2 linked regions of the Caenorhabditis elegans genome follow. The gene in region 2 interacts genetically with the main gene of each other region. Each region holds a gene or a part of one and is shown on either strand. Other genes may lie near its edges.

Region 1 (5,270 bases), on a different chromosome or scaffold from region 2:
CATTTACATGAACGTTTGCAAAAACTGAATGATTAAACATCACATGATCTAATTCACTTTTCCTGACAAAATTACATCAATTGTATTAATTGTACATGTTTTAAATAAAATAAAACAATTCCATAAACATTTTGTGAAAAGGTTTCATTCTAAGAACAAATTATTTTCACAACATTTTTTCGAAGTAGATGAACCATAGAGAACATTTGAAAGATGTGCGGTATTTCTATGTCAAATTTGCTGGTTCAATGTGTATCATTACACTACATTTTAAAAATTTTAATTTGAATAAAAGAATAAGGTTGATTTTTTAATTCTCAGGCTGCTTAAAGTATTAATTCTAAAATTAACAAATAAACCGAAAACGACGTTTGAAGGCGGACTCCGATCTGCGGGGGAAGTTTTTCAAAACCATTCCTATGGTACAAAAATAATCAAATATACCATAATAAAATTATTCCAAAAACTTTGGAAAGTTTTTTTTATTTAAAATCAAAAAGCTCAATACTAAATGGTCACCAGTTTTTGCGGAAGTCCTCCATCATAAAATTTTCCATTTTTTATTTCAATTACATTCAAAATATTCAAATTTTAAAATGTATGGGGTTTGAACATTTGACAGTGATTTAAATTTTCAAGAAGTGGAGCAAACTCAGTATAAAATATGCTTCAAAATTGTTTTAATAAAAACCGTCTTGTTTTTTTTTAATTTTGCAGTTACCATCTCGGGATTGATTAAAGTTAAATTTTAAAGTTTGATTAAAAAATGTCAAATTACTGGTTTTGAGACTATAAATTTTTATGAAAATAACTAGAAAAGTAAGGAATTTTGAGAACATTTTCAAAAAATAACAGTTGCAAAATTTTCGTGGCAAGAATTATTTTCTTCTACATTTTACTTAATACAAATTTTCAAATTGCCGCACACTTACCGTTCCAGTGATTTTGTAAAATCACTGTAGATTGAAGCAACTTTCGTTTGGTCTCCACATCAAGACGACCACGATCCGCAAGCGATCGCAACTGAAATAAACTTTTATGTTTGGGTTCAAATGTTCAGAAGGCGGAGCACAGAGAAACTCGGTTAAAAGTAATGAAACGAGCAATAGAAGTTTGATAACATGCAGACAAGAGTGAAAACAACTCGTAGAAATGTAACAGGTGTTGTTGGAACACGAATGACGTTACCGAGTATACGGAGGCAATGCAAAAAAACAAAAACGTGTATGCTTTGGATCGCTAAAAACAATGAATGTTCCAGAAATGCTTCAGCATAGTTGTTCTCACAAAAAACATTCATTCAAAATCAACTCTAATATTTTGGCCAATTATCATATGAAAGGCCACTTGAAGTTTTCAAGTTTTGTTTCGAATTCAAATTTAACAATTGATTTGTTCAATGTTGTTGTAAATTAAATGGTAAAGTTATCTTAAAAAATTTGACAAATCAAGTTTTAAAAAAATCTTCAATGAAAAAAAGGAAATTTTTAAATCTGAAAAATTACCAAACTAGTTGATTTGTCAGATAAAAGTAAGACAAATTTCATTTCGAAAAACACTTCCTGCTGCAAAATGACTAAATGAAAAGTCGAAACTCAAATTCAAACAATTACGAAATGAGATGATAAAAATCAGTCAGATACATGACTTATGCATGTGCTAGCTGAGAGAAAGTTCGTGAGTCTTAAAAAACAACAATGAGCAGAATATCAATAGGTAACAATTAACCTAATCCTCTTTTTCTGTTTACTCTTCTTTTTTTGGATAACAAATTAGCTCACAAAAATCAGGAAAAAAACGGAGAGAGCTGCAGTTTTCTGGCCTCTAGAGAAAGAGAAGAGTGGGAAAGGAAAGGAGAGAAATGCAGAAAGTAGAAGGTGAAAAGAAAGAAAGAAGAGACGGAAACAGAAACGGAAAAACGAGAGGGAAAGAGCGTCAAAGCGCACTCCCAAACACCCCAAACCAATGGGAAGCGTAGAGGGAAATGAAAAGAAGTTTAAGAATAAAACGATAATGTTGAAGGTTGTGACCCGAATCAGCAGAAAGACATTTAGAAGGATATAGATATGCCTAGAACCCGATTTGTGAGTGTTTGTATGTTTCTGTTAGGTGTAAAATCAGGAAATGATGTGTGAGAAAAGAGAGAAAAGGTAGAGCAAAAAAGAGAAGGATCAAACCTCTTGGTTAGTGATGCTGAACAGAGCATTGAAATCGGTGATCGAGCAAATCTCCAAGTGCCGAATGTTTTGTGCGCTGAGCCCGACAAATGTGAACCAAATGGCGTTGATCTCACGCTTCTCGCGATCAATCAAACCAATTTTTGTCATTTGATAAACGGCCGAGAATATTTTGCGCTGTAAATTGAGAATCATTGGAATTTAGTTGACGTCAATGAAAGATTTCAGACCATTTGTTTCAGGTTGTTTCACCTTTTCATCTGTCTCTGATATCTTGATTACTAAAATTCGTAGAAAAAAAGAGTTACATTCACTTAAAGTTTTTAAATCTATTTTTTAAAAGCTTTGATATTTTGATATTTTTTCATATTCAAAATATCATAAACTCACTAAATTTAAAACATTTGAAAATCAACATTTGTTTGAAAGTAAGTTTCAGTTTTTCAAATATAACGATTAGCGTTTCATGCACGAAGTTGTGCATCTAAATTTTTAATTTTTTAAATTTATTATCAAAATACCATTATAGAATTTAATTATACAAATAAACTTTACAGTATAAACGGAAAACGTCTAGAAAAACGTTTAGTACCACAGATTGGTTTACCACAAAGATCTAAAACAATTTGGACTGAGGTGTCAATATATGTATAGTGTATTTTATGAACAAAACTTTAAAGCATCTTAAAAATTTTTTCTGCTGAATGAAGACTAGTCTGTCTTGAATTCATTTATTTACAGTTTATAAAACAACGATGCTCACGAATAGGAGAAGTTTGAATTTTTACAAAAGTTGTTTTTTTTTCAAAAAAACTTACTTCTACACTTTTTGCATCTTCTTCGTATGATGAAGTCAAAAATCGATTGATAGTGGTAAGTTTCAAACATTCTGCAACTTCGAATTGTTTTTTTTTAAATTTTTTTTACTAACCCTTCAAATTATTTATAGCCTGTGTCTTTATATCCTGTGCGATTCCTGCACCAAACTGCGGTAGATTACTGTATCCCGCACGTGATGCAACTTGGGTTTGCATCATTCTGTGTATTGATATTATTGGTTAGTTTTTACCTTCTCCGGATCTTTTCCCTGAAATAAATCTTTCGTTGGTTGAGCACAACGTTCAAAAGGTTGCCAAGAAAAAACAGTGCTGGTTTTTGGTCAACTTTTGGAAATCCCCGGTGCAAACGGAGCACGCTGTGAGCTCACACGTGCGCCACACTCTTTTTTGCTTGGTTTCTCATTTTGTGTATGTGTGTGTGTCGTCGCAATTATCAAATGGCTCCCTGTGAGCTCATCCTTCGTTTATGTATGTGTGGTAGTGGGAGCAGGGCAATACGAATGTATTTGGTGCTTTAGAAAGGCGTTAAATGACTAGAAAAGCAAACGAGCAAGTAATATTGAAAAGTGCCGAGTTTTTTCTGTTAGTATGGTTTGCATTCGTACTGTAAGGGAGCAAGACAATTAGAGAAAATATGTGTATGCCCCACAGTACAGTCAGAAATTTCAATTCATGAGTTAGTAAAATCTACAATATTTTCTTCCTACAAATTCCATCACAATTGGATGTTTACAATTCAAAGTCAAATTGCGATGACCAATATAAGTATGCTTACAGTTTGTTTACTATTACAACATCATCTACTCAAAAAAGGTGTGTATTAACCTTCTAGAAAAGTCGAAATCGTCCGGAAAGTAAATTAAAAGCTTTCGGCGGCTTTCTGCCATCGAAATTGTGAAGGTTGCGTGGCGAACAATTATGAGACAGGTTATGTACATTACTCAATTTAGAAGTGACGAGAAGAAAAGAAGAATTGGTATTTTCGACCACATTTTCTTTTCCGGTGGTTAGATTAGACTTATTACATCACAATGTCCCGATTTTTTTCAATGGCATTCTACTTTTATTTTGGCTTCTTTTGTTTCTTTAATTAGAATACTGTTCCAAATCCAATAATTGTACTCTACCAATATTAAATGTGTTTTTTTATTGAGTAGAAATATTCAACTATTTCACTTAAAAAATCGATTATCCTTTATCATCACTCCTAAGTAATTATAGTTTATCAATTTGAGTTTTACATTTTCCTAGCTTTGCGTATTAAAACTACCACAAATACAAAAATTAGGAAGCTTAACTTTTCTTTCTTTTTTAATTTTTCGCTTTCACATGAAATACCGAACAACAGTATGGCGCTTAAAAATTAAGCAATGCCGACCGAAAAGAGTAGTTGTGAGAAAAAATTGCCATAAGGCTTTGGTCGGAAGTTAAAAGAAACGTTGCATTCAAATACTGTTCAATATATTGGAGAAAATAATGCTAGAATGCTGAGAGTTGTGGAAAGAGAAAGAGGAAGAAAGATCGGCGTGCAAGCAAACAAACTGTTTGAACGTGATGAAGAGAAAAGGGGAGAACGGTGTGGATTGACAGTAGGAATAGTAGGAAAGGACGCAAAAATGTCGGGAAGACGGGAGGATGGGGGGAATAGTGTATGAATAAGAGAGAGAGGAGACTGTATGTCTATGGGGTGAGAGAAAATGGTCCGCAATGAGAAGACCACAACAGGTGTTCAAAATGTTGCGTAATCAACTTAAGAGTAGGTCAAGATTCATACCAGGAATGCATTGAACAAGCTTTTAGTTCCTGGTTTGCTGGCAGATCACAACTAATTTAGTGTAACATCTCGGCAAAGTCAACATTAAAAATGTTGTTCCTGCTCGATGAAAATTTTGAAAGTAATTATGGGTAGTTTGTTGAACGTGCCAAAAACTATGGTAAAGTTAGCCAAAAATTAGGGTAAAATATAAGTACTGAAGTAATAGCAATTACGTTTTAAAAGACGACTAATGGACCAAAATGTTTAGACTGTGTTTTAAAAAGAGACTTCTCAAAAAATGCTGTTTAAAATGAAAACCGATTGTATTTAGCAGAAAAATTTAAAGTTTACAAATTTATACGCGTCGCAGCGGACAACAAACATTTTTTGTTGAACTATCACTATTCATTGATTTTAGTCCTTTATTACAAATTTTATGATAAAAGACGTGAATTTGGATGTGCATTGACAGGCAACCAATTTCGGTTTTTCGAATGG
Region 2 (4,092 bases):
GCCAAGGAGTTGGACAACAAATTCTAGATTACATGTTCTCTCAGGAACACACTGAACCTTATCAATTGGCTCTTGATAATCCATCAGTCACTCTTCTTGGTTTTATGTCACAAAAGTACGGACTTATCAAGCCTGTATGGCAGAATACCAATTTCGTTGTTTTCGAGGAGCTCTTCCTAGCTTTGTCGGCTGAAAATGGAATCGGTAATTTTAGTAGAATAGTATTTTGACCACAAAAATTCTAACTTCACTGAAATTAAACTATTGGACGTTTCAGAAAAACCTCCACCAGATGGTTGGCGTCGTCCAATGACTCCACGTCGATTGGGAACTGGAATGACTGATACCCGTTGGCTTCAACACGCTGTTAGTGGTCATCAGAGCAAGGGAAATGCAATGGCTGCTCCGGTGGATGCTGACATGACACCACAAGGTGCTTTGAGCAATAGAGCTCATCAGGCCAAGGCAAGAAAAGCTCACATTCTGTCGAGCAAGCCATTGTGGTGATTCGGATGTGGACATTGAAGTTATTTTCAGCTTTTAATTACTTTATGCAATTTTGTGCCATCTGTTTAATCTCGCTCTCATGCTTTTTTTGGAATTCGAAATTTATTAAACTTAGCGTTCTTTCCGATAAATAAAAATGAACATCCACCACACTTACATGTTTTTATAAAATATTATTCATCAACACCCTCAAATAAATTAAACTGTTGCGATGAAGTGGACCAGCCATCGATTGCTCTCCGACTAGTTCACAGTGGTGGTTTCGGAGAGTTTGACCAAAAAAGACGGCCAAATATCACATAAATTAGGACAGGGCTCGGGCCGATTTGAAGTTGGGGGGACGGAGAGAGAGAGAGAGATGGGTACCAATAACACACAGAAAATAGAAGCTCCCAGTGCCATCAAACAATCAAATTCTATTTAACAAAATTAAAACGGCTGCGTGGATTATTGTGGCTGTTGGTTAAGAATATTTTAATGGGGGAAAGGGATTTACACATTTTGGAGGAGAAGGGAATTTGGACATGTAAGTTGTGCAATTAGGTCTTGGAAAGCTGGTTGGATAGCCAGTCAAGTCCTTCGTAGAGTCCATGTCCTTGAGTTGCACATGTAGCTTGGATGTACCACTGAAAATTTTTCATTTACATTATAAATTTGGAAACAATTTTATTTATTCCGTGAGTGGACAATCTTTTATTCGATCAGATTAATACGCTTGTCCGGTTTCAAATTTTGATCGTCTATGCAGATAAGACTAAACAGAGAACGGAATCTCGAATACCACTCACCTGTCTTGAGCGGAGATTGTGAAGTCCAAGCTTGTCGGTCAATTCGGCGGCGGTCATAGCATTTGGAAGATCCTGCTTGTTGGCGAAAACGAGAAGAGTAGCGTCACGAAGTTCGTCCTCGTTCAGCATCTTATGTAGCTCTTCACGTGATTCTTCAATACGCTCCTTGTCGTTCGAGTCAACCTTAATTTTTAAAATATTTTAGATTTATAAATCGATTCGAATACTTACGACGAAGATAAGTCCTTGTGTGTTTTGGAAATAGTGCCTCCAGAGTGGACGGATCTTGTCCTGACCTCCGACATCCCACACAGTGAAGGAAATGTTCTTGTATTCAACAGTTTCAACATTGAATCCTGTAATATCAGATTATTAATTTTTACGAATTATGAAATACTGAAAAACACACATATTATAGAACTTGCGACTCTTTTGCAATAACCATTGATTCGAAAAATGCAAATATTTTCCTGAAATACTTACCGATAGTTGGGATCGTGGTGACGATCTCTCCAAGCTTGAGTTTGTAGAGGATCGTAGTTTTTCCGGCAGCATCGAGTCCGACCATCAATATACGAACCTTAAAATTAACACATTAAAACTGTGAGATTAAGCATTACAAAAACATACCTGTCTCTTGCCAAAAAGGCGATTGAAGAGGGAGGAGATTGTTAAACCCATAATGGAGCTGATTCAACACCTGAAATTATATAATTTAAAACAAATTTCCAGTTAGAATTTAAAAAAAACGATAGTAAAAGAAAAATACATAACACTCCAAAGCATGTGACACGTTCATTCAAAAAACAATTATTTTGTTCGTCTTTATAGCCATTTTAAAGCTTTTTTACAAGAAATATATCCATTTCAAACATTAAATATTTTGAAAATTTATTAATAATGATGAAAATCCAGAAAATTTGGTAAAAATCGGCAATAGCAACGTCGATTTGCTGGATGTCGTCCAGCCAGCCACACACGTGTAATTTCGATTAGTCGATCGTGGCGAGACCCGTCAGCCAGAAAACGCGCCCTCCCTTGAAGAATGCATTTATTTCTCGATGAGATCTCTCGATTTGGCCGCTTATTCGTCGCACAAAAGCCTGTTTTGTACAATTTTAAGTGACTGGATGTATTTTAGATAATATTACTTTAAAAACAAAACATTCCTGTACAAAATAATATCTGAAAGACAAGAAAATATAGTGTAAATCTTTAAATTAAAAAAAAAACATTTATTAAAGAGAAAAAAGAGAACAGAAAATGAGTATATTTTCTTAAAGCCAATCTGACATTCGCTCCACCAAGTGTTTTAGCTGCATTGCGTCCTGAATACTTCCTTTCACTTTTAAGTTTCCGTTCATATATACAGTGACTGGAGATACTTCCTTTGTTAGAATTTTTCCAAATACTTCCAAACTCGTTTCAAAAACCACGTCAGGATTTAAGGAAGTTCCTTTATACGCACTTCCAGATCCATGTTTCAAATCAATGCAAATGGGCTCAATATCTTTGCAATTAATTTGGAAAACTCTGCCAATTAGACGGACTAAGTGTTCATCCATAGCTAGGCTTGCCACAGATATAAGATGGTCGATATCAATGGAAGGAATATTTGGTGTATCTGTAGAAGTTCCCGCAGCTGAAGTTGAGGGAACATCCGACAAATCAACTAATGGTGCATTTTCTTTTGCTTTCTCTTCAGCTGCACATTCCTTTGCAAAGTCTTCGAATACTGGTCCAATAACTTGCCACAACTGTTGACCAGCATCGGATTTCGCAACGCTGCTCAACGCAGACATCCCCATGTTCTCTCCTTCCTTCACAATTTTCACATCGGAAATTTCCACGTCAGTGATTTCAACTCCGAATTGACACGTAAATGATCCCAGCTCATCCTTCAAATTAGCAGAAATTATTCTTCGATCTTGTGAGCTGGTTACATCACAGATCCGTTTCTTGCTGATATATCTGTATAGCATTGTATTTGCCAATGTTCGAACTGATGCATTTCTATCTTGAACTCCACAAACAGCTGCAATTGGATCTCTAATTTTTAGAAAAACAGTTGCCCCGAGTTCCACGAGACCACGATCTGTGGTTATTATCTGTAAATTAAAATTTTTTTTTAGACAAAATATTGTCAAGGCTAACCTGGAGTGGTGGGACATTGAACGCAGTAATAGACATTGTTACTTTATGTGTTGTATCTATACATGGAATAACTAAAGTTATACCAGGTCCTCTTGTCTTCTGAGCTCTTCCCAGGCGTAAAACTACCAATTTCTCACTGGTAGAGATGAACTGAAAAATTAAGCAAATTTTGAGAAACGGTTCTCTAGAAAATTATAATTACTACCTTTAACGCGAAAAGCAATGATAAGGGCATTGTCATCACAACAAACAAAAATGAAACACAGAAGATCAACAGTTCAATGGCGCTCAGGGGTTTTATCTGAAAAAAAACATGTTTAAGATATCATAAGTATATTTTAATTAAATTGTCTCGTGTGTGTTTCAATTAGTTTAGATATTTCCATTTTTGTTAAGGTTTCTATTTTGCCAAAATCTGCAAAAAATGTATGCTTTTTAAGAAATTTAGAGTACTGTTGCTTGTTCAAATGCCTACAATGCTCAGATGGAAAAAAATCATAGTAATTGTAGAACATTTTTTGGCGAATTTCAACAACCGAGTAATTTCAACTTTTTTATTTACTGAAAATAAAAATATTTCAAAAAAACCAATTCAAAGTTTTACTATCAAATAATTTCCTAAATGGCTCAATTTCACATTAAG

What was found.
Region 1: of arf-5 (region 2) and ksr-1, changing one enhances a phenotype caused by changing the other (phenotypic enhancement), as found in Caenorhabditis elegans (one large-scale study listed by BioGRID).

The regions. Positions count from the first base shown.
Region 1 is NC_003284.9:8,273,163-8,278,432, reverse strand, and holds the start of ksr-1 (Kinase suppressor of Ras A), read right to left. Parts: upstream 3,265-5,270; 5' UTR 3,215-3,264; coding exon 3,109-3,214; intron 3,067-3,108; coding exon 2,996-3,066; intron 2,355-2,995; coding exon 2,178-2,354; intron 1,024-2,177; coding exon 933-1,023; intron 1-932. UniProt on the Caenorhabditis elegans protein: Serine/threonine-protein kinase which positively regulates Ras-mediated signaling probably acting at the level of let-60/ras or/and lin-45/raf. Involved in sex myoblast migration.
Region 2 is NC_003282.8:7,980,429-7,984,520, reverse strand, and holds arf-5 (ADP-ribosylation factor), read right to left. Parts: upstream 1,996-4,092; 5' UTR 1,977-1,995; coding exon 1,926-1,976; intron 1,876-1,925; coding exon 1,779-1,875; intron 1,652-1,778; coding exon 1,527-1,651; intron 1,479-1,526; coding exon 1,296-1,478; intron 1,134-1,295; coding exon 1,047-1,133; 3' UTR 669-1,046; downstream 1-668. Other genes in the region: mec-17 (Alpha-tubulin N-acetyltransferase 1), read left to right, coding at 1-204, 278-507; unc-24 (Band 7 domain-containing protein), read right to left, coding at 2,573-3,193, 3,239-3,403, 3,450-3,599, 3,655-3,750.